Arabidopsis thaliana: one gene and its partners. The protein of the gene in region 1 binds, or shares a complex with, the protein of each later gene. Each region holds a gene or a part of one and is shown in the gene's direction. Other genes may lie near its edges. The genes, in order: AT5G20170, AT3G52860, AT3G10820 and MED21.

Region 1 (6,053 bases):
ACAAGTGAACAACTCAATTATTCAAGAACAACCGTGACCAATACGTCATATAGTCCAAGTAAACAAATGATATATATATTAAGATCATGTTAATTTTCATTGGCAAGGAATCCTGAACCTTTGAGAAATTATCCTTTCTGAATTTTATATATTGAGTAGATTAATTATCCCTTTCGTATTTTTTGTTTCCTGTGAAAGAAACACAATTATGATGGTTATCTCTCGAGATCAATTGGTTAAAATTGCAGCTCAAAAATGGAAATTACGAAAGAGTATGACAATTATTGGTGAGGTGATTTTTTTGGAATGAAGCTGTTAACGATTTGACTGAGGGAAAACTACAACAAAAAGTAATAAAGAAGGCTTGTTATGTCCAAAAGTAGTACTGTCCAGAAGCGGGGCCCATGGGATATGCCTATCAGAGTGGGCTTCCTGTGACCTCTCACACCACCACGTAGGACCTACGAGCCGAGTGCTCAACGGTGGAGAAAGAGAAGGGTCGTTGTCGTTGAGAAGTCTCCGTCTCTCCAGTTTCATTGTATTTGATTCGCATTTAGTGGGTGTGCTTTGTGCAGCCTCATTTTGGAATAGTGAAATTTGACTATAAACATGCGCAAATGAGCCACAACATATTTCAAACTACTTGGTACGCGGTCAATACAAATTCAACCACAATTTGCTCATTTCCTTGGCATGTAATCGATGTGGATATCACTAACCAGAGTTTTCTAAAAGAAAAACATATTGATCCCTAACATATGCTCCAGTGGAAAATGTAAAAACAAATACTCGAGTGTCATAATATATCTCTTTGTTCAGGTCATGCGAGGCACAATCAAACAGGTCTCGAAGGAGCATACGACTGACCAAAGTAAAAGTGGAGAGATATACAATAATGTTTCATAGGAATTGGAAGAAAACTGCGATTACAAATCTGAAGAATAAAAAGGGAAATGCTGACATCCTAATTTCCTTGTTTGAAGAGAATGGATGCAAGACCAGACCTCCATCCGAAATACGCTGTTGGCATAGGCCTTTTGTGTAAAAGTGATGCCAGTCCGGCTGATACCCCCTGACCAGGCAGCCTCACCAACTCCTGACTAGCAATCGGCTCAGCAAACCTGTTTTACAATCCCAAATAACTTTTTAAGTAAGTTACTCTCAACTCTGCGAAGGAAAACAAGTGCACATGCTTCATGCTTCTGTGTGATGTTCCACTATAATGTATTTTAGTAACTGTTCAACAGACTCTAAATAGATCCTCACTTTTCATTCAATGATTCTATAGGACAAAATTTGGGTAGTAAGTGATTCACAGTAGTCAATATACACTGTATTTAACCCGTCCAAAATCCGAATGAGACACCTAATTACTCAAAAGCGAAAACCAGATACAAGATTCACTTACAAAGGGGAAGGTGTAATTCCTTCATAAGCAAAGGAACTGAACCCTTGTCTTTGCTTGTGCTTAGGATTGGAAGAGCATATAACATACACACGTCCACGACGTTTCACTGTTTTACAAAACTCACACATCTTCTTCACAGATGATCTCACCTTCATTGCTTCTCACTCTGCAATTCACAACCGATCATTAACACAAAACTCATTAGATGAAAATGAAAGAGAACTCTTCAAAGTATTCAACTTTAAGATTCAAAACTAAGGATTGTATCCTCTAAACATATCATTTCTACTTAATCTACCAGAAAAACTGCAATCCTTAGTTGATCCGATGATGGAAGCAAAAGTAAAACGAATCTGAAGCATCCATCTCTAACTACACGGAATCACACAAGAGAAAACCCTATAATAGATCCAGATACGAAATCGAGTGATAATCAACGAGAACCCATCAAGCGAAGAACAAAAAAATACCTGCGAATTCAAAGGCGACTACGAAGAAGAGCAATCGATTCCCAAATGCAAATGAAAGGGTTTTACGGAGGAGTTTTGCACAGTCAGAGTACAACATATTTTGGGCTTTTAATGGGCTTTACCCGTAAAAATGATCCGGAATTTTTTTGACCCGGATTATTAGATCTAAATATCCGATTTGGAGCGTTGAAGCGATTTGGCCGGACTGTGTTACCGTCGACCTAGAAAATCTGAATTTTTGACCGGGAAGATTTTTTTCTGTACGATATGGATAGCGACATGGAAATCTCTCTCGACAGGCTTCCCATTAAACGATTGGAATCTATCGAAGAAAATGGCGCCGAGCGTTTTCCTTCGTAAGTGTTGTCTGGTGTTTGAGAAACGAGACAAAATCTTCCCAGATTGTTTTGCTTCTAAATTATTCCTTTTGTTTTTGACGTGTAGTGATGTTGATTACGATGATAAGAGAGTATCGCTGATTCGGAGAATAGACTTCGCGTGGGCGTTGGAAGAGGAAGATGAGCTGAAGAAGAAGAAGCAGAAGAAAAGCTCCAAGGATAGCGTGGAGCAATGGAAATGGAAGGGAATGGTTGAGAATTTGCAATTGGCTCATCAGGAGCTCACTGTCATCATTGACCTTATCGACACAGTGAGTGACTCTTGTTGATAATAGATAAGAATTTTGGGATATTCATAGCTCTTACAGTGTCTGTTTTATTGGTTTGAATGGAAGGAGCTGAAGTTTGGTTTCTGATATTTGAATAGAGAGTAAAACTTAAACAATTTATCTTCTGATTTTATCTTTGAAGGTCCAAGCAAATGATGCAGTAACAGTTGCTGGGATGACCAGACCTAAGCCGATGCCGAATGAGATTCTCTCGGATCTTGCTGTGTCTACTGCTACCAAGCTGCAGGGCTACCGGGTAATCAGTAGCTTACTTTCTTATGTGCAATTTAACTTTGCTTAAAGATGGAAGGATTCTTGTAATTGTTATTAGTTAGGCACTTTTTAGTATCCTGAGAAACTGTTGGAAACATTAACTTGGTTTCGTAAAGAGCTTTTTAACTATATAATTGTCTTTGGATGGTATGCTTATCTCACTTCTGAATATCTGTTTCCTCTGCAGAATTTAGGAAACTACTTTAAACAATCAGCAAAAGCTTTAGAGCAGAAAATCAATCGTGAAGCAAGGTTTTATGGTGCTCTTATCAGGTTCGAGTACTTGCTTTTCATTTAATGTCAGTGGCTATTTTCCTTAGTACTATTTTGCAACTTTTAAGAATTTGTTGTTTGCATTCTTGATACTAGTTTTAGGTAGCTTACAATGTCATAGCTATTTGTGTTGTGCACAGATAATTAGCGTCCGAATTTTGGATGTAGAGTTATTACGCACGTAGGTTTTGTAATATGTTATGACTTATGACTGATAAACGTGAAAGCATTTTATTATTCTTGTCTAATGTGAAAAAGTTCTAAATTTTGACTTCTACACCGTCTCTGTTACTGAACCTGCATAGTACAGTACTTCAGGAACATCCATTTTGTTGTGTAGTGACTGCTTAAGATTATGCCAACACAAATTAGAGAATTTCCGTTGAAATTGCTCATAATTTGTATAAAATGATAAGCTGACTTCAGCTTCCAAAATAGAGATTGATTTATACGTGCAAATGGTTATTTTTGCTATACTAACAAGCTTATAGGTTGCAGCGGAACTGGAAAGTCAAGCGACAACGCATGCTTGCTTCAAATGCCAGCAATGAGGGCTTCACCATTGATCTTTCTGACAGTTCATTATATGATCCGACTTCTGGTTTTCGCCCATCTACACTGTCCACTATTCGTGTAGATCATGATTCAGCTGGTATGCTGGCCATTAATGTACCCCAAGATTCATGGTACTCTCTTCGGTTTGGGTATGTTGGCTTAAATCCGATTGGCAACTCAAACGAATCTGATGAGCACATAGACTCGACTACTGGTCACGATATCCCTGGAACATCAGAGAAGTTGTCTGCAAGTGACGACAAATATGTTAAAGAAACTCATTCGCTACTGAGGGAGGTGCATAAATCAATTTTTGCTGAGCAGGTGGTATTTTTGTCATATATCTTGTAGTACGCTTGGTATATCTCTTCACGACTATTTCTCACTTCTTTGGTCTTCTTACCAGTTGTTTGACATGCTAAATCGTGAAGCATTCAATGAAGGTGTGGGATTCAACATAAGTGGACTACGAGAAAATTTTATGGAAATGAGCATCGGCCAAGGAGCTTCTCTGTTTGTGTCTCTCCACCCATCAGGCAAAAATCCCAGCATCAAGAAGTCGGAATCTGCAACCTTGCTCATTGAATCATCTGGCAGAGTAGAACCAGCAGAAGGAGGAGACTATCGCTTGAAGAAGCTAGGGTTCCCTAATCGCACCAGCTATGAAATATACTTGCAACAAATTTTTCACGAGCATGCCTTTGGAAAAGCTAAAGATCAGCTCAAGTCAAAAAGTATCAGAGCATCCAATCAAACAGAAAAGGACAGCAACTCCGGACTTCTTGACCATTTCTGCTTATCTTTGACTCATAGAATCTTCTCAAATAGAGTTCTTGTGCATCTTGAAAGCGTGGTATTTTCCCTGATGTGCTAAACTTTATTGAATGATCCTTCTCTATCAAGAAACTTGTTGTCATCTTTGATCATGCTTTAAAAAAAATGGTTACTTCCTCATTGAACAGGTCTGCAAGGTCCCGTATCTTCATCTGATATCTCATCCTACATGGAATTCTCGGACATCGTCATGGACTGTCTTCATGACTGTTCCTCCATCAATCATCCCCCAAGGAAGGTCTGAAACCCAGTCTCCTGATGGTAAGAGGAATCTTAAGACGCAGTTCCGGACAAAAGTGGTGGTGAAGGATGATTGTATTAGTGTTGAAGCGGAATGCACGCCCAATGTGGTTGGCTTACTCAAAAGCAGTTCCTGCAATCTATTCTCTATAAACAAATACGAGTGCGACGTGGCCGACCTTCCCGTGATGATTCTCCAACAGGTATGTTCTTTCGTTTCCTAAAGTTGATCATGTCTATAGCAACACGGTCCCTTAAACACGCGGTTTATTTATTTGAGAAGGTGGCGAGCCAGATAGTGTGTTGGCTACTGGAGGAAGCACGGACGGTAGGGACAAAAGCGAGCAGGGAATTTCTGTCACTATCGTTAGAGATAGTGGAAGGGGAGAGAGTGAGCCTGGTGGCGCATGTAAACCCGGAAGACGCAAAAGGATGCATCTCGTGGTGGCTAGTGATGGAGAATGGATGCACAGAGGAGAGGGAAGGAGTGTCGGAGAGTAGGAAGTTGTTGGGTCATTTGTCTCTGGATGTCTTGTACTCTGTTCTCATGGATTTGATCAACTTGTGTGGTACTGGTCGCAATGCTTTAGAGAGATTGTAAATGCTGAAAGACAAGTAGTGAACATGTTTAGTTCTTCAAGATTTGTAGATTACAATGGTTTAGTGAGACTCTAGTGTCTAGCCCAAACATCACTTTTTTGAATAGTTGGAAATGTGGATTTTATGGATTAAGGATTGATGATTATTATAAAACATCTTTATTTCAAATAATATTATCAATTTTTCTTTTTTAAAAAATCTTTGAAATCATAATGACTTTAGTACTTAAAGGAAGAAAGGGGTAGAATTGGAAATATGTAGAGAAAACGAGAATAACTCTGACGCGAACGTTTCTCTCCTCCGTCTCTCGATCCCTCTCTTGACGTCTCGCTGATCTGTTTTGCTAAGATTCAAGCTTCAAAACCCTAATTTCTCTAGCCATTAGCATCGATTTCAGCTCAACTTCAGGTTTGCTGTTCCCTTTTTTTGTATCATCCCATCCACCGATCGATATTTCTCAATTTTCTGATTTGCTGCTCTCTCGAGAGAGAGTCACCGTTATGGAGTTGGATTCACTATATGATCTGATAATTATGAAATTCACAGATGCTTCTATATATAGTAAATCTGATTTATTAGTGACGAATAGATGAACATATTCCCTTGATTATTCTTCTACAAATCTCGGTAGTGATAAATTGTTAGGTTTTGACGATAATTGTACTTGCTCAGTTTTTCATGTGTTTAGTTATGATTCTTCTTGGGCATGTCTGTGTCTTCGAATCGATTCTCA
Region 2 (3,384 bases), on another chromosome or scaffold:
TAACTTTGTGATATATCCGGGTTTTTTTTTTTTGGCAGGTTGGATGTTGGAGGAGGGATAGATTTGGATCTTAACGAATGTCCGAGGTCAAAGCTTAAGCAGCAATGCATTAGATATCTTGGACCTGTATGTGCCATTTTTTCCTCTCTTATGTCAATATTGGTTTTACTTGTTTTTGGGATTTCTCTCATATAAGCCTTTTCTGGTATCAGCAAGAGAGGGAAGAGTATGAGTATGTGATCATAGAAGGGAAGATTGTTCACAAGTTAACTGGAAAGTTCTTACACACAATGCATGGATCGGAAGGAACAAAATGGATCTTTGTTATGAGTACTTTCAAGAAACTCTATGCCGGTCTGGTAAGTTAAAACCGTTATATCTTTCTATTGGTGATGAATTGATATTAGTATTGAAAAAGATTCTAATGGTTCTTTTCTTTGTTTATGTTTACTTCAGAAAAAGAAAGGAAGGTTCCATCACTCAAGCTTTTTGGCTGGAGGAGCTACATTAGCTGCTGGGAGGGTGATTGTTGACAATGGAGTTCTCAAGGTAACTTACTAAGGCCACGTCCTTTTCTTAGAGTGGTTGAGATACATGTTCATTCATATCAACTTTTTTATTATGTCTGCCTTCTGTGATTTCTCTGTTTGATCGTTCTGTTTTCGGTTTAATCTCAGACAATCTCTGCATATAGCGGACATTACAGGCCGTCAGACGATAGTCTCGACACATTTCTCGGGTTTCTCAGAGAGAACGCAGTGAACCTAGACAATGTTGAGGTAATGCCCTTGTTCTAATCTTGGCTGGTGAATGATATCATTAACTAGAGTTTGGTTGTTTAGAAAAAGAGACTACTTGAGAGCTAATATATCTATGTATGTGTAGGTGCATAAAGCTAGTGAAGATTCTGACAGCTACGATGATTATGTTAAATCCAACGGAGGATCTGAACCGGAACCGTTAAAGAAAGAGGACACAACATTCCAAGCAGAGACTGAAACAGATGAGAACGGTAACGGAACAGTGGGAACACTTGAGGAGGCAAAACGGAGTAGCTACCAGAGAACACTCTCAGGTGGACTTGGGAGTCCAAAAGCTAACGTGCCGCAGAAATCTATGCTACTAAGGATAAACTCAAAGAAACAGTCAAGATCATTACAATTGGGACATCAGTTGTCACTGAAATGGTCGACAGGAGTTGGTCCAAGAATCGGTTGTGCAGCTGATTATCCGGTTCAGCTCAGAACACAGGCTTTGGAGTTTGTTAACTTGTCTCCTAAATACCGGAGTAGCAGACTTTCTCCGACCGGGAAGCTTGATGTCTGATCATATGTTCCGTACTTCCTTATGTAGTAGTAAATGAGAATCTTTCTTCTGTAACTAATGTGTGAGTTCTCTATCTAAGGTTTTTGTTGTCATCTTTTCACATGGATGATTGTGAATCAGAAGGAAGAGAATGAGAGATGTGTTAAAAGCTATTTTCACTGATAATGAAGAGAATGGTTACAGTATTTAGTCAATCGCTTACTCATTTTACAAATTTCATTAGAAAATCCATAGCTAAAAAATCTTTAAGTAAGGATGTAACTTATCTAATTTGATGGAGATAAAAAGTTACATAAGGAATCAAAATTTGTTACAAAAGCCATCATCTGTTATATCTTGTGACATCAAATCAAGAGTAAAGTATCAGAAAATGTTGTTCCTTCTCCTTACTATTGTTTTTTCATATGAAATAAATGATTTACTTCATATATTTATTAAAAATGAATTTTCAGTGTTTTCAATTAATTACATCAAAATGATATTCTTAAGAACAATTAAGAATGTGGAAAAGGCCCAATAAGCCCAAATTAAATCCAGTAAATGGGCCCCCATTATAATATTTTTCACTAAACCTTATGGGCAAACAAACAAGCAGAGAGAAAGAGAGATCGAGATCGGCGTGAATGGATTATCAGCAAAAGCCGCCGCAGTCTTCTGACCCTTCGCCGTCACCGCCTGACCGTCCACCGGGAATCAGATCACCGGAGACCCCCTCGAACAATCAGAATAATGACATAGAGGACATTATGGCTTGCGTCACAGCCTTGGAAGCTGCTCTGTTACCATGTTTGCCGGCGAGAGAGCTTCAGGCCATCGATCGCTCTCCTCACCCTTCTCATCAAAGTCAGTCCCTTTTCTACTCTCCAATTTCACCATTCTAGGGTTTTAGTTTGAATGATAGTTTGGAAGTTGTGTTTGTTTTTGTGCTTAACTTATGATCTCAGTGAATTTTGTGCTTAGAATTCAGTTGAAACCGAAGCTTTGATTCCATATTCGATGTTCTAGCTTAATTCCCCTCATTGAACTGCTGCAGTTGATGTGGAGCGGCACGCCAGAGATTTCATGGAAGCTGCGAAAAAGCTTCAGCTTTACTTCATGGGACTAAAGCGAGAAGATCGCGCGCCCTCGAGAGCTGAAAGCCTTAAGAAGGTGTGGTTTGATTTACCAATGTGAAAACTCCAAACACATATTGTCTTACCAGTTTCTGCTCTCTTCTGTTCTGTTCTTAACAGGATATTGCAGTAATGGAGGAAGAGCTTAAGACAAAAGATGAGCTTATAAAGAAGCACATGAGGCTTTTCCAAGAGTCGCAGAAGCTTGTGAAAGAACAGATTGAGAAACACAGAGATGAGCTGGAGAAAGTTTAACAATCTCTCAATCAAAGTTTATTGTTTTTCTTCTTATGGATCTTAAGTTAGTTTCAACAGTAAATAATGTAACACTCATTATTCATCCAGTTATGTCTATTTTACATTGTAAGAGTAATATGCAGACAAAAAGGAGATTCCATCTGCAAATCCACATTTCTTACAAATAGTGCAGGTACACTTATTTCTGTTTGTGGCTTTTTTCTTTTCTCTAGAGTTGTATCAAGTCCATTGATTCATTTACATGGAAACTTAAAGCTACTCATAGAAAGAGAGAGAGTCTCTTGGCTTGTGTTGATAACTTCACTCATATATCCATATGGTGACCACTTGTGTTGGGTGGTTGACTTTCCAATGGCATGTACTGTGCCATGATCCCTCTAATTTCCGCATCCATGTAACTCTGCATAATTTCAATTGTTACTTAGCATCTCTATCTAGACCGCAAAATCTTCCTATGTTTTAATATGATAACAAGACCAGAGTAAAGAACATCGTATACCCTGATTCTGTATTTGTAGACTGCATATCCAGAAAGACCTGCAACACCCACCCCGATTATAAGGATCCACAAAAAGCTCCAGCTGAGTTTTGTGGTTCCAACTTTGCCTGAACCTACACATTCACCAGATTCAAAAGCAGAAAGTCTGATTAATGACTCCAAATTAAGTATGGGGCTAGGAGGAAGGAA
Region 3 (5,898 bases), on another chromosome or scaffold:
CCTTTTAGAAAAAAGATTAAAATAACTCATCGTTTGTAACTCTACTGGTGACTAAGTAACATAAATTCCGGACGGAACAAGGCTTCAAGATCACAAGCCAACGAATTTCAAAGTTGGAAAATGAACTAAATTCGAAGAGATATTATGAGTTAAAAGTCCGAAACTGTTTTGTTATATTAATTTAAAATAGGTTTTACAATTTTAGATATATAAGCCCTAAACAACTTTCACAAATCCAAAATGGATACACTAGAAGCACAATTTGAAAGATACATAAAACACTGAACCCTTACAAACACATGACAAGAAATCGATTAAAAGGCCTTTAGATTCAAATCAAACGCAAATGACGTAGAAACAAATAGTCAAATACAAGTAGTGTTTAAGCTCCATAGCTTAATCTTTGACCCCGTGATCTTGCTTTTGCATAGTAGCTATTTTTGTAGAACCAAAATTATGCAGAAATTTTTACACTGAACCAAAACAAAAATATGCAGAAACAAGATCATGCATGGGTTTTAACATTAAACCAAAAAAAGATCATGAATGAGTCAAAGATTAAGCTATGGAGCATAAACGATAACATGTGATCGGTGGAAACAAAACGAATCATGCAAGTATGGCTTACCGGAGTTAAAATGGATTGATCCGACAAACTTGTGAATCTCCAAGTGCTGAAAGAATATTTAAAATAGAAGAAAAGGAAACTTTTGGAAGAAGAGAAGTCTTTAACGCAACTGAAAATAGAGTCGAGGATGATATCGACGACGAAACTTCAAAAGACAGCTTCAACAACGGGAACATGTGGCTGAAGCTTAACAAAAGAGTCAAAGCACGAAACTAACGAGAAATTTAATGAAAAAAATACAAAAATAATAATTTAATACTAGTACTAATTAAAAAATAGTGCTAAACATCTGTGGGACTATGAACAATGCTTTTTAAAACGACATAATTGCGACACCAAAAACGCGTTTATTTAGATTACCTTTCAAGTAATTCACGTGATAAATGTAATTATCCATAACTTTGAAAAATGAGTACCCCATTGTTGGTATCAGGACATGTGTAATGTGTTAATAATTTACTATTACAGTATGCTCTGAATGTAATGTTGATAACATAACTTTAAAAAAACGAATATCCCATCTTTATACTAGCTAGGCCATGTGACGTGTTTTTCATCAAGGGTCATTATGTCATATAGGACGACACATGTATAGTCTAGTTATTACTAATTTACTATTAACTAAATAATCATTCAGTTAATCATAAGCCTATATCTTTAGAATTAATATATATATTGACAAATTCAATATTTTACTTAAATAAAACAGATGAGTTATCAAGATAAATGATCAAAACTATTACCATTTTTTTTTATAACCTAAGTTTTTTAATGTCGACATAAATTTCTGGCTTTTTAAAATTCTAGGGTCTTCTTCTCTTGCCCTCTTTTAATTGGCTCAAGCTCTGTTTCTTTAAGTTTTCTCGGGAAAGTTCTTGTGGACTTTCTGCAGAAACTTTTGTCAGATTCTCAGGCGAATTTTATTTCCTGCAGAGAAACTTAAAAAAAAAAAAAACTACACAACTAGTACTATATTGATTCGTATTCAAAAACCTAAATTCAAATTTAATTAGGGTTTTGCAGATCGAGGAATTCGGATTCCGGAATCGATTTTCCCTCGCCGTTTCGTGATGGCGAAGATGAGACCATCTGTTTCGTTGGATACTTGGAGAGAGTATTTCCGGCGAGGAGATTCTGATATTTTTGGTATCATTGATCATGCGATTATGGTAGCTGCTGCAGATTGGCCAAAGGAGTTTAAATCCAGGAGTGATAGAATTGCTGAGCTTCTCTTCTCTTGTAAAGTGAGTCGCTGCATTGGTTGTGACCACCTTGAGCTCTCGATAGCTGGAGACGAAGCGGCGGTGGAGATAGTTGGAGTTGGCGGCGGCGGTGATAGGGGTGATTCTGGTGTTGCGACGGGTGAAGGTGAAGAGGCGTCTGTGAGTGTTGATGAGGTTATGAGGATCAGAGATATCTTGTCGAACAAAGACGATGAGGTTTTTAGTCTCTTTGCTTGGATTACATTAAAACTTGTGCTAATTCATTGGTTAAATTTGGAATCTTTGTGTTGATTGTTGAGTTTTTGGTTTCTGTCATCTTTTTTGCAGAAAGATTCTGTGTTACTCGAATCTCTGAGAAAGCTTGAGTCAATGTCTATGAGTGTGGACATTCTTAAGGTTTGTTTTTTTGGTGTTGTTTTGATATTGTATGATTTGGTGTAGTGGAAGTTGCTTATTCTGATGGAGCTTTTCGAGGCTGTGGAGTGATTTAAGTGTTTACGTTCTTGCAGGATACTGAAATTGGAAAGGCTGTTAATGGTCTGAGGAGACATAGTTCCGATAAGATTAGCAAACTTGCAAAGACTCTTTTCGCGTATGAGTTTCATCATTCTCATTGTGTGCTTAGTTTCATTTGTTCTCATACTCTCGCATCTGTGATGTGAATTAAACTTTGGCAAAATGTTCCAAAAAAATTGAACCTCCACGGTTTGATTTAGATGCAAACCAGTTGCCTTGTAGGATGTCTCAAATTGTAAAATGTCATTATAAAAGCCTTGGTTGATCATTAGGGAGCTGCTCTTGTGTTAGCTCAATACTTAGAACATTTTACTCTTCCTTACTTTCTGGCTCCCGAGTATAAAGATTGTGTTTTTATATATGGGATGCACAGAGAGTGGAAGAGGCTGGTGGACCAGTGGATGAACACCCCAGAGGAAATGGCTGGTAAATAGCTCTCTCCTCCTGTTCCGTAGTCAGTGCGAGCAGGTTTTGGTCTAGATTTATAGTAATTGGGTCTTGCAGGCACTGAAGGGACGCCAGAGTCTCTAAACCTTTCAGTAATTGATGAAGAAGAAGCCTTTCCTTCTCCTCCACATGATTTAGATATCTATGCACCTGAACCTAATGGGTTTGAACTTTCTCAGGTCTATTAACATTTTTCCCTCTCATCATATTTTATTTCTGGCATAGACGAAATGTTATCCTGACAAGTTTCCTCCCTCGTCCTTGTTTCATAATGTCTTGGGTCACTTGAAGATCTTAGATTGTTTGGACTGCGATGGAAGTGAGTTAGTATACTCTTTGGTACTCTGTTCTCTACTTGAAAGTTTTCCTATATTTTGACACTCATGGTGGCCACTGTTTTCAGATCCTCGTCACAGTGTGGAGTCCAAACATGAAAGAAAATCGCAAAGTAGTGCGGGGAGGAGACCCAAGGGAACAAATGATGCAAATGTGGTTGGGAGGTACTGCAATGATCAACAGACGAGGAGAGAAGAAGCTGATGTTAGACCTATGAAGCACTCAGCCACAGATGTTGTCGAGCCTAAAAGACAAACAAAGCAAAGTAGAGAACAAATGGTATCCGCAATCCAACGAAAACCAACTGCTGTTACTGAGCAAAAGCGGAAACTTGCTGGACCTCAACAAGATGTGAGTGTTTGAGTTAATAAAGCCGTGGTGTTTGATTATTAATCTGTTTTGTTTCTAATAGCAAGTGTTCTTGTCTTTGTTCAGAAACTCAAAGCTCTGGATCCAGACTCAAAGTTTGAGTTTGCAAAGCGGAAACTCCAAGAGAGCTACCACCAACATGAGAATGGTTAGTCAAATCGTCTTAAGAGATTTCAATATTTCCACTATTACAATACACCTAATTCTTAATGACCCATTTGTTTTTGAACAGCTAAGAGACAGAGGACGATACAAGTACTGGAAACTATCCCAAAGCAAAATAAAGTTCAGAAACCGCAACTCAAGAGACCCGCCACACGAAGATAGTCCATTTTTTCCTTCGGATGATCTATACAATTACTACGACCATTCAGAGGCGTTAATATACAACAAAAGTGCATTGACAGATCCAACATAAACTTCTTAGGATGCTCTATTCTTTTGTCCCAGTATTTATTGGTACTTCTGGTCCAGTGAATTCCCGGTTTGGTCCGGTTTTGTGACAATAGAACCTCATAATTGTGACAAGGGAAAATCCCTTTTTCACTTTCTTCATGTTTCATTATGAAAATAAAAAAGAAAATTATTAGGACAAAAGGGCTTCTCGTATTTGACCATCCCTAAACCTAACTTGCGAGGCAAGCAAACTTTTTAAATCTGTTTATACAAAGATTTTGTAATTTTTAATATCACTTATGAGGTGAAATATAACAGAGTGATAAATTCCTAGGGTTACGAGTTACCTTCCCTCATCCTCAATCTCGCGAATCCTCGTGATAGTTCCTCCCAATTCTCAAGGTACCTACTTCAATTTTCCTTGTTGTAAATTTTGTTTTCCTAGTGCTAGTTATCGATAAACCTGATGGGTTAAACGTTGAGCTGTTAAGAATTCTGGCCTAGATTTTGTACGTCGGGGATACAACCGAAAGTCTTTGATTGGAAATCGAAAAGCCCTAATTTTGTGGCCTTTATTGATAAACATAAGTGAGAGCATAGGTTTGGTAAAACAATGGTCTCTGTTTGCATTGCATAGAATTGAAATTTAGCTGCATATGTAGACATGATGAGTTGATGATTGATATTCCTGTATATTTTGGACTCGTACTTGTGCAGATAGATAAAGCAGAGATGGTGGATGAGATGATGATTTTCAAGAAGATGAGTGTCCTTCTAACTGAAAAGGATTTTGTTGATGCCATCGTATCTGTTTCTCTCAAGGACCTTACGAGATCACTCTTTGTCAGGTTCGAGGCCAAGGCTTGCCCTAAGTTTGACCTTATCCATAAGACTTCCGTCGAGACGGTTAGGTGCGTAGGGAAAACCTTTATGCATATGCTCTCTAAGGTTTCTAGAGAGTTTCCTCCCCGCAATCGAACTCATCCCGGTGGCCTCCTCTATCAGCGATTTGATCCTACTCACTTGTCTCTTGCTCGCCAACAAGTTGCTATATGCAAGGAAACTGATTCACAGTATCCGCATGAGATTGTGATTCACTGGACAAGTGCAAGCGCCTGAAAGTGGATGCTCTTGGTTACATGTTTACTATTGCAATGAGATGCGCCCCTAGTTTGGCTTATCTCGAAAAGTTCAGGCAGTACATGGCTCAGGCGAATGAGAAGAATCTGGAAGATGAGACTGCTGCTACTCTGACGAACAAGAAGCATGTCGCCCTCTTGGCTGAGGAAGACTGCACAGTCCTTTGCACCCCTCGCTTTGAGTTTCAAAATGTTGCCGACTTTGTTCTTCCAGAAACTTTGCGTTGGCTTGACGAGTTGGAGCTTCAAGCCAGCTTCAAGCTCCAAGCTAATCAACTGGACTCTGCAAAACTTGCCCGCACTCGCAAGAAGCACCACATGGTGTATTATTCTCGCTTATATATCAATCTGTTGAAGAATCAATGTCTCTCGGTTATTTTATTCTATATCTATCTAGTCTTTGATATTGTCGACATTTGTTTCTTCAGGTCCAATAACATGAAGAATCTCTCTAAAATTTAGTCTTGATTGAGCTAAAATATATAGTTATACTTCATGATACAATGCCTTGGAACTTCAAGTCCACGTCTTGTTGTTGTGACCCTCCAAAAGCATTCCCTAGAAACTTTGCAACAATAGATATGAATTCATCTGGTTTTTCCTCTTGAGGAAGATGACCACATTTCTTAATTACTTCGAACACTGATCCCGGTATGGCTCGTGCCAGCCTCTCTGCGTTCCATGCTGGCACAATACGGTCCGTATCTCCCGTCACAATCAGAACTATTAGAAACATGAAGATAGTATGATGTCATTGGTTCAGAGTTCAGACATACAATGCACAATATTTGGTTCCAATTTCTAATTCATTGTCAGAATCTTATAGAAAGAGATATTACCAGGG
Region 4 (3,781 bases), on another chromosome or scaffold:
CCAACGGAATATTTTGAGAAACTTAGCTGAAAAAAAGGAAGTAAAACCAAAAACATATATAAGGAAACATTTTAAACCAACGAAATTGAATCAAGAGACAAAATTCAAAAGAAAATAAAAAACTATGGGAAAAATAAGACCTAAACTTCTCCTAAAAAATGTGAACGCCGGAAACACCAATAAGATCGGATAGATTTTACACCGAAGTCAAAACTAATAGTAAATCGACAGAGAGGAAAGCAAGAAGCCGCTGAAACCAGAGACATAAGTACAAACACCATCACACCTCACCCACCAGACCGAGATAGCAAAATGTACTAGGGACAAGGCATAAACCTTGAAGATCTACTAGAGATAATTAAAGCACTAGACACAATCAGTATCGATTCTACTTGGGTTAGCTGATTTTCGAGCCATAAACTATTTCGATTCTCAGCTTTCACCCCCGGACTTTTGGGCCCTTAAATTTCCACCATCAACTTTCATATTCCCAAAATTACATCATCTACTTTCGGATTCATGCTTAAACATACATTTCCAATTGAACCATTCATTTAACCGGGATTAACCACAAATCCGCGTTTACTGTACCGCGATTGCGATTAACCCGACTAATACCCAGACCCGTTAAGAAAACGACGTCGTTTTCATTTCGTTTAACTCATCAAAAAGAGAAAGAAAACGACGTCGTTTTCATTCTTCTTCTTCTGCAAAATCGATTTGGTCGATTAGGGTTCTTCATTCGACAATTTTATAAGAAAATGAGCACCAACAGCTACTACTCATCCGCTTCCAGTTCAGGATTTCGTGTCTGTCCTCCTGGTGTCCCCTCGAAATGTTGGTGTGGAGAAGAGATCATTACATTCACATCGAAAACAAAGGAGAATCCATACCGGAGATTCTACCGTTGTGCGATAGCAATGAAGGTACACATTTCGATTTTGTGATATATTTGATTGATTGAAGGAGTAAATGATTGGAAATTATGTTTTATAGAGAGAAAATGAAGAGCACTTGTTCAAATGGGTTGATGAAGCTCTCTTGGACGAAATTAAGATGGTAAATGAGAAGTGTAAGAGAGTTGTAGAGAATATTAGTGACCTCAGAATGAACGTGATGGCTAATATGGAGCTCCTTAATAAAAACGCTAAGCAGATGGAGGAAGAGCTGATTAAGAAGATGGAGGGTGAACTCTTGACCATGAAGGAGAATGTGGAAGAGCTAGGACATGTTATGGCAAAGTCAGCTTTGAAGACTGTAGGGGTTGCTGTTGTGATTGTTGCATCTATTGTATGGCTTTGGGGAAGAGTGTAGGTGTTGTTGAGGTTTTGGAGTGAAATTGTAGTATTGGATTAGTCTCTGTTATAAAATTGTCGAATGAAGAACCCTAATCGACCAAATCGATTTTGCAGAAGAAGAAGAATGAAAACGACGTCGTTTTCTTTCTCTTTTTGATGAGTTAAACGAAATGAAAACGACGTCGTTTTCTTAACGGGTCTGGGTATTAGTCAGGTTAATCGCAATCGCGGTACAGTAAACGCAGATTTGTGGTTAATCCCGGTTAAATGAATGGTTCAATTGGAAATGTATGTTTAAGCATGAATTCGAAAGTAGATGATGTAATTTTGAGGAATATGAAAGTTGATGGTGAAAATTTAAGGGCCCAAAAGTCCGGGGGTGAAAGCTGAGAATCGAAATAGTTTATGGCTCAAAAATCAGCCACCCAATTCTACTTCAGTGTTTTTTTTTTTAATTAGTTGTCAATTAATTAAAGCAGTAGGTTTAAAGAAACAACAGAAATCGTTCCTTACGAATTCTATGGAATTAGGGCCCAAAAATCCAAAGGAAAGGCCACCTTAAAAGCCCATTTTAAAAATCTTCGAGCCCAAACCCAAAACGCAGAACGAAGTTTATTAAGAACAACAAAACGCCCCAATTCGCAGCGATTATCTGTCGTTGCCACACCCAACAGACTCTGCGTCGCCGGAGAAATCTTGTCGACGGGTAAGTCTCTTCGTTAAAGCTTATGCTTCGTTAAATCGATTAGGTCAATTTTTTCCCTGAGGATTCGCCATTTTGATCCTCTCTGAAATCCAACTGGTTTTAAGTGATTTATGCTTTGGCACTAGTTTTGTTGAGAATCTTGTTTGATAAATTCAGGAATTGACCACCAATTTTGTGCCATTTGAATCTCCTAGATCCTCTCTGAACGTTATATCTTGCTTTTGAGTATATGTTAAAAGTCTAATATGTGATTGATTACTGTAAATTTTATACTTGTTCAAGGTCTTTTAAGGTTTTGGAAGATGGATATAATCTCACAGTTGCAAGAACAAGTGAATACGATTGCTGCTATCACTTTCAATGCTTTTGGGACACTGCAAAGGGATGCACCACCAGTCCAGCTTTCACCTAATTATCCTGAACCACCCGCTACAACTACGGTTACTGATGATGCTACGCCTTTTCCTGAGCAACCTAAGCAGCTCAGTGCTGGCTTAGTTAAGGCTGCTAAACAGTTTGATGCTTTGGTTGCTGCACTTCCTTTGTCAGAAGGTGGTGAAGGTGCTCAGCTCAAAAGAATCGCTGAACTCCAGGTCAAACAAGTCACACCGATATGTCGAGTTCTTGAATCCGATTACTTCTATTTGTCTAACCGCTTTGTCCTGTTTTTTCTTCAGGTGGAAAATGATCTTGTTGGTCAAGAACTCCAAAAGCAACTAGAGGCTGCAGGTAAAAAACGATCTTAGGTTTTCACTTCATTGTTGGTGTGTCTTATCTGTCTGTAACTGGAGCAGATTCATTATGCACTTCAAATTTCAATTTGTATACTTTCTTGTTGATACACGCACTATGGTTAGATGTTATCTTTAGTGGTTCTAGAATTTGGAATTTTTGTTTTCCCTTGCAACTGCCTCTGACGATTGAGCTGATGTTAATGGTGTGACCTTGTTTGTGACAGAGAAGGAGCTAAAGCAAGTACAAGAGCTGTTTGGACAAGCTGCTGACAATTGCCTGAACATGAAGAAACCTGAATGAAATGCTTGTTTACCTTTTGTCGAGCTGATTTAGAAACTATATGATTTGGTTCAGCAACAATTATCTTTTAGGTTCATAAGGAATATCTATTCTAAGTTGGTTCACCAAAAAATTGTTGTAGAAGCAATTACAAGAATGTTAGTTAGCTCACAACAACAGAACCATTATTTTAACCTTACACTTTTTTGACCTGTCTGATTACAATCTCAGAGAATCCACTTTATCATTTTCACAATTACAGGCCATGATTGACACATCATGTTTGATTCTCCGGGCAGTGTTGGTCAAATTACTATGATGGTCAAATTACTATGAACTCTGGTATCTGTCACATTCAATCCAAGTTGCTGAAAAGAAATGACCAGTCCATAAGTTGTGGTCCAAAACCGGATCTTGATTGTGTATTTGTACTCAAGCATGTGAAGATATCCTAACTCATCATCCTTCTTGCGCTCTCTCACAAGACTTGTATAGAGTCCAACAATCTTTTGTCTGCGTGATGAAGCTTTAGGATGAAAAGAAAACTTTAGCCAGTCCGATCAATATTATAAATTAACAATTGTATAAATTTACCAATATATATATTTATATAAATATTATATGTAAAATATTTAGTGAAATATGACTCTACTATTGTTTTTCTTTAATTTTTATTAATTTTTTGTAAAGTTCAATTCTAATACTTTTACTATGTGAAAAAAAAAAATTGTATTTTTTTTTTAAACTTAATAATTGTTTTCTA

Evidence for each region.
Region 2: AT5G20170 (region 1) and AT3G52860 share a complex: the UniProt entries of both Arabidopsis thaliana proteins name them as parts of the mediator complex.
Region 3: AT5G20170 (region 1) and AT3G10820 share a complex: the UniProt entries of both Arabidopsis thaliana proteins name them as parts of the mediator complex.
Region 4: AT5G20170 (region 1) and MED21 share a complex: the UniProt entries of both Arabidopsis thaliana proteins name them as parts of the mediator complex.

The regions. Positions count from the first base shown.
Region 1 is NC_003076.8:6,806,822-6,812,874, reverse strand, and holds AT5G20170 (RNA polymerase II transcription mediator), read left to right. Parts: upstream 1-1,955; 5' UTR 1,956-2,145; coding exon 2,146-2,234; intron 2,235-2,322; coding exon 2,323-2,527; intron 2,528-2,687; coding exon 2,688-2,801; intron 2,802-3,005; coding exon 3,006-3,091; intron 3,092-3,582; coding exon 3,583-3,970; intron 3,971-4,052; coding exon 4,053-4,499; intron 4,500-4,608; coding exon 4,609-4,923; intron 4,924-5,003; coding exon 5,004-5,321; 3' UTR 5,322-5,500; downstream 5,501-6,053. Other genes in the region: AT5G20180 (Ribosomal protein L36), read right to left, coding at 965-1,121, 1,409-1,563. UniProt on the Arabidopsis thaliana protein: Component of the Mediator complex, a coactivator involved in the regulated transcription of nearly all RNA polymerase II-dependent genes.
Region 2 is NC_003074.8:19,591,307-19,594,690, reverse strand, and holds AT3G52860 (mediator of RNA polymerase II transcription subunit-like protein), read left to right. Parts: upstream 1-1,922; 5' UTR 1,923-1,949; coding exon 1,950-2,169; exon of another isoform or gene 2,170-2,359; coding exon 2,360-2,475; intron 2,476-2,558; coding exon 2,559-2,693; 3' UTR 2,694-2,843; downstream 2,844-3,384. Other genes in the region: AT3G52870 (IQ calmodulin-binding motif family protein), read left to right, coding at 39-126, 213-359, 457-549, 678-779, 886-1,326; VSR1 (vacuolar sorting receptor homolog 1), read right to left, coding at 3,001-3,096, 3,196-3,308. UniProt on the Arabidopsis thaliana protein: Component of the Mediator complex, a coactivator involved in the regulated transcription of nearly all RNA polymerase II-dependent genes.
Region 3 is NC_003074.8:3,385,660-3,391,557, forward strand, and holds AT3G10820 (Transcription elongation factor (TFIIS) family protein), read left to right. Parts: upstream 1-1,540; 5' UTR 1,541-1,698; coding exon 1,699-2,067; intron 2,068-2,178; coding exon 2,179-2,247; intron 2,248-2,360; coding exon 2,361-2,443; intron 2,444-2,740; coding exon 2,741-2,793; intron 2,794-2,871; coding exon 2,872-2,993; intron 2,994-3,105; coding exon 3,106-3,133; intron 3,134-3,217; coding exon 3,218-3,501; intron 3,502-3,585; coding exon 3,586-3,667; intron 3,668-3,751; coding exon 3,752-3,845; coding exon of another isoform or gene 3,846-3,846; exon of another isoform or gene 3,847-3,969; coding exon 3,970-4,003; exon of another isoform or gene 4,004-4,249; coding exon 4,250-4,317; intron 4,318-4,493; exon of another isoform or gene 4,494-4,577; coding exon 4,578-5,034; 3' UTR 5,035-5,344; downstream 5,345-5,898. Other genes in the region: AT3G10840 (alpha/beta-Hydrolases superfamily protein), read right to left, coding at 5,548-5,777, 5,894-5,898. UniProt on the Arabidopsis thaliana protein: Component of the Mediator complex, a coactivator involved in the regulated transcription of nearly all RNA polymerase II-dependent genes.
Region 4 is NC_003075.7:2,430,359-2,434,139, forward strand, and holds MED21 (mediator 21), read left to right. Parts: upstream 1-1,893; 5' UTR 1,894-2,004; intron 2,005-2,286; 5' UTR 2,287-2,306; coding exon 2,307-2,597; intron 2,598-2,681; coding exon 2,682-2,733; intron 2,734-2,962; coding exon 2,963-3,039; 3' UTR 3,040-3,277; downstream 3,278-3,781. Other genes in the region: AT4G04775 (zinc ion binding protein), read left to right, coding at 762-926, 997-1,314. UniProt on the Arabidopsis thaliana protein: Component of the Mediator complex, a coactivator involved in the regulated transcription of nearly all RNA polymerase II-dependent genes.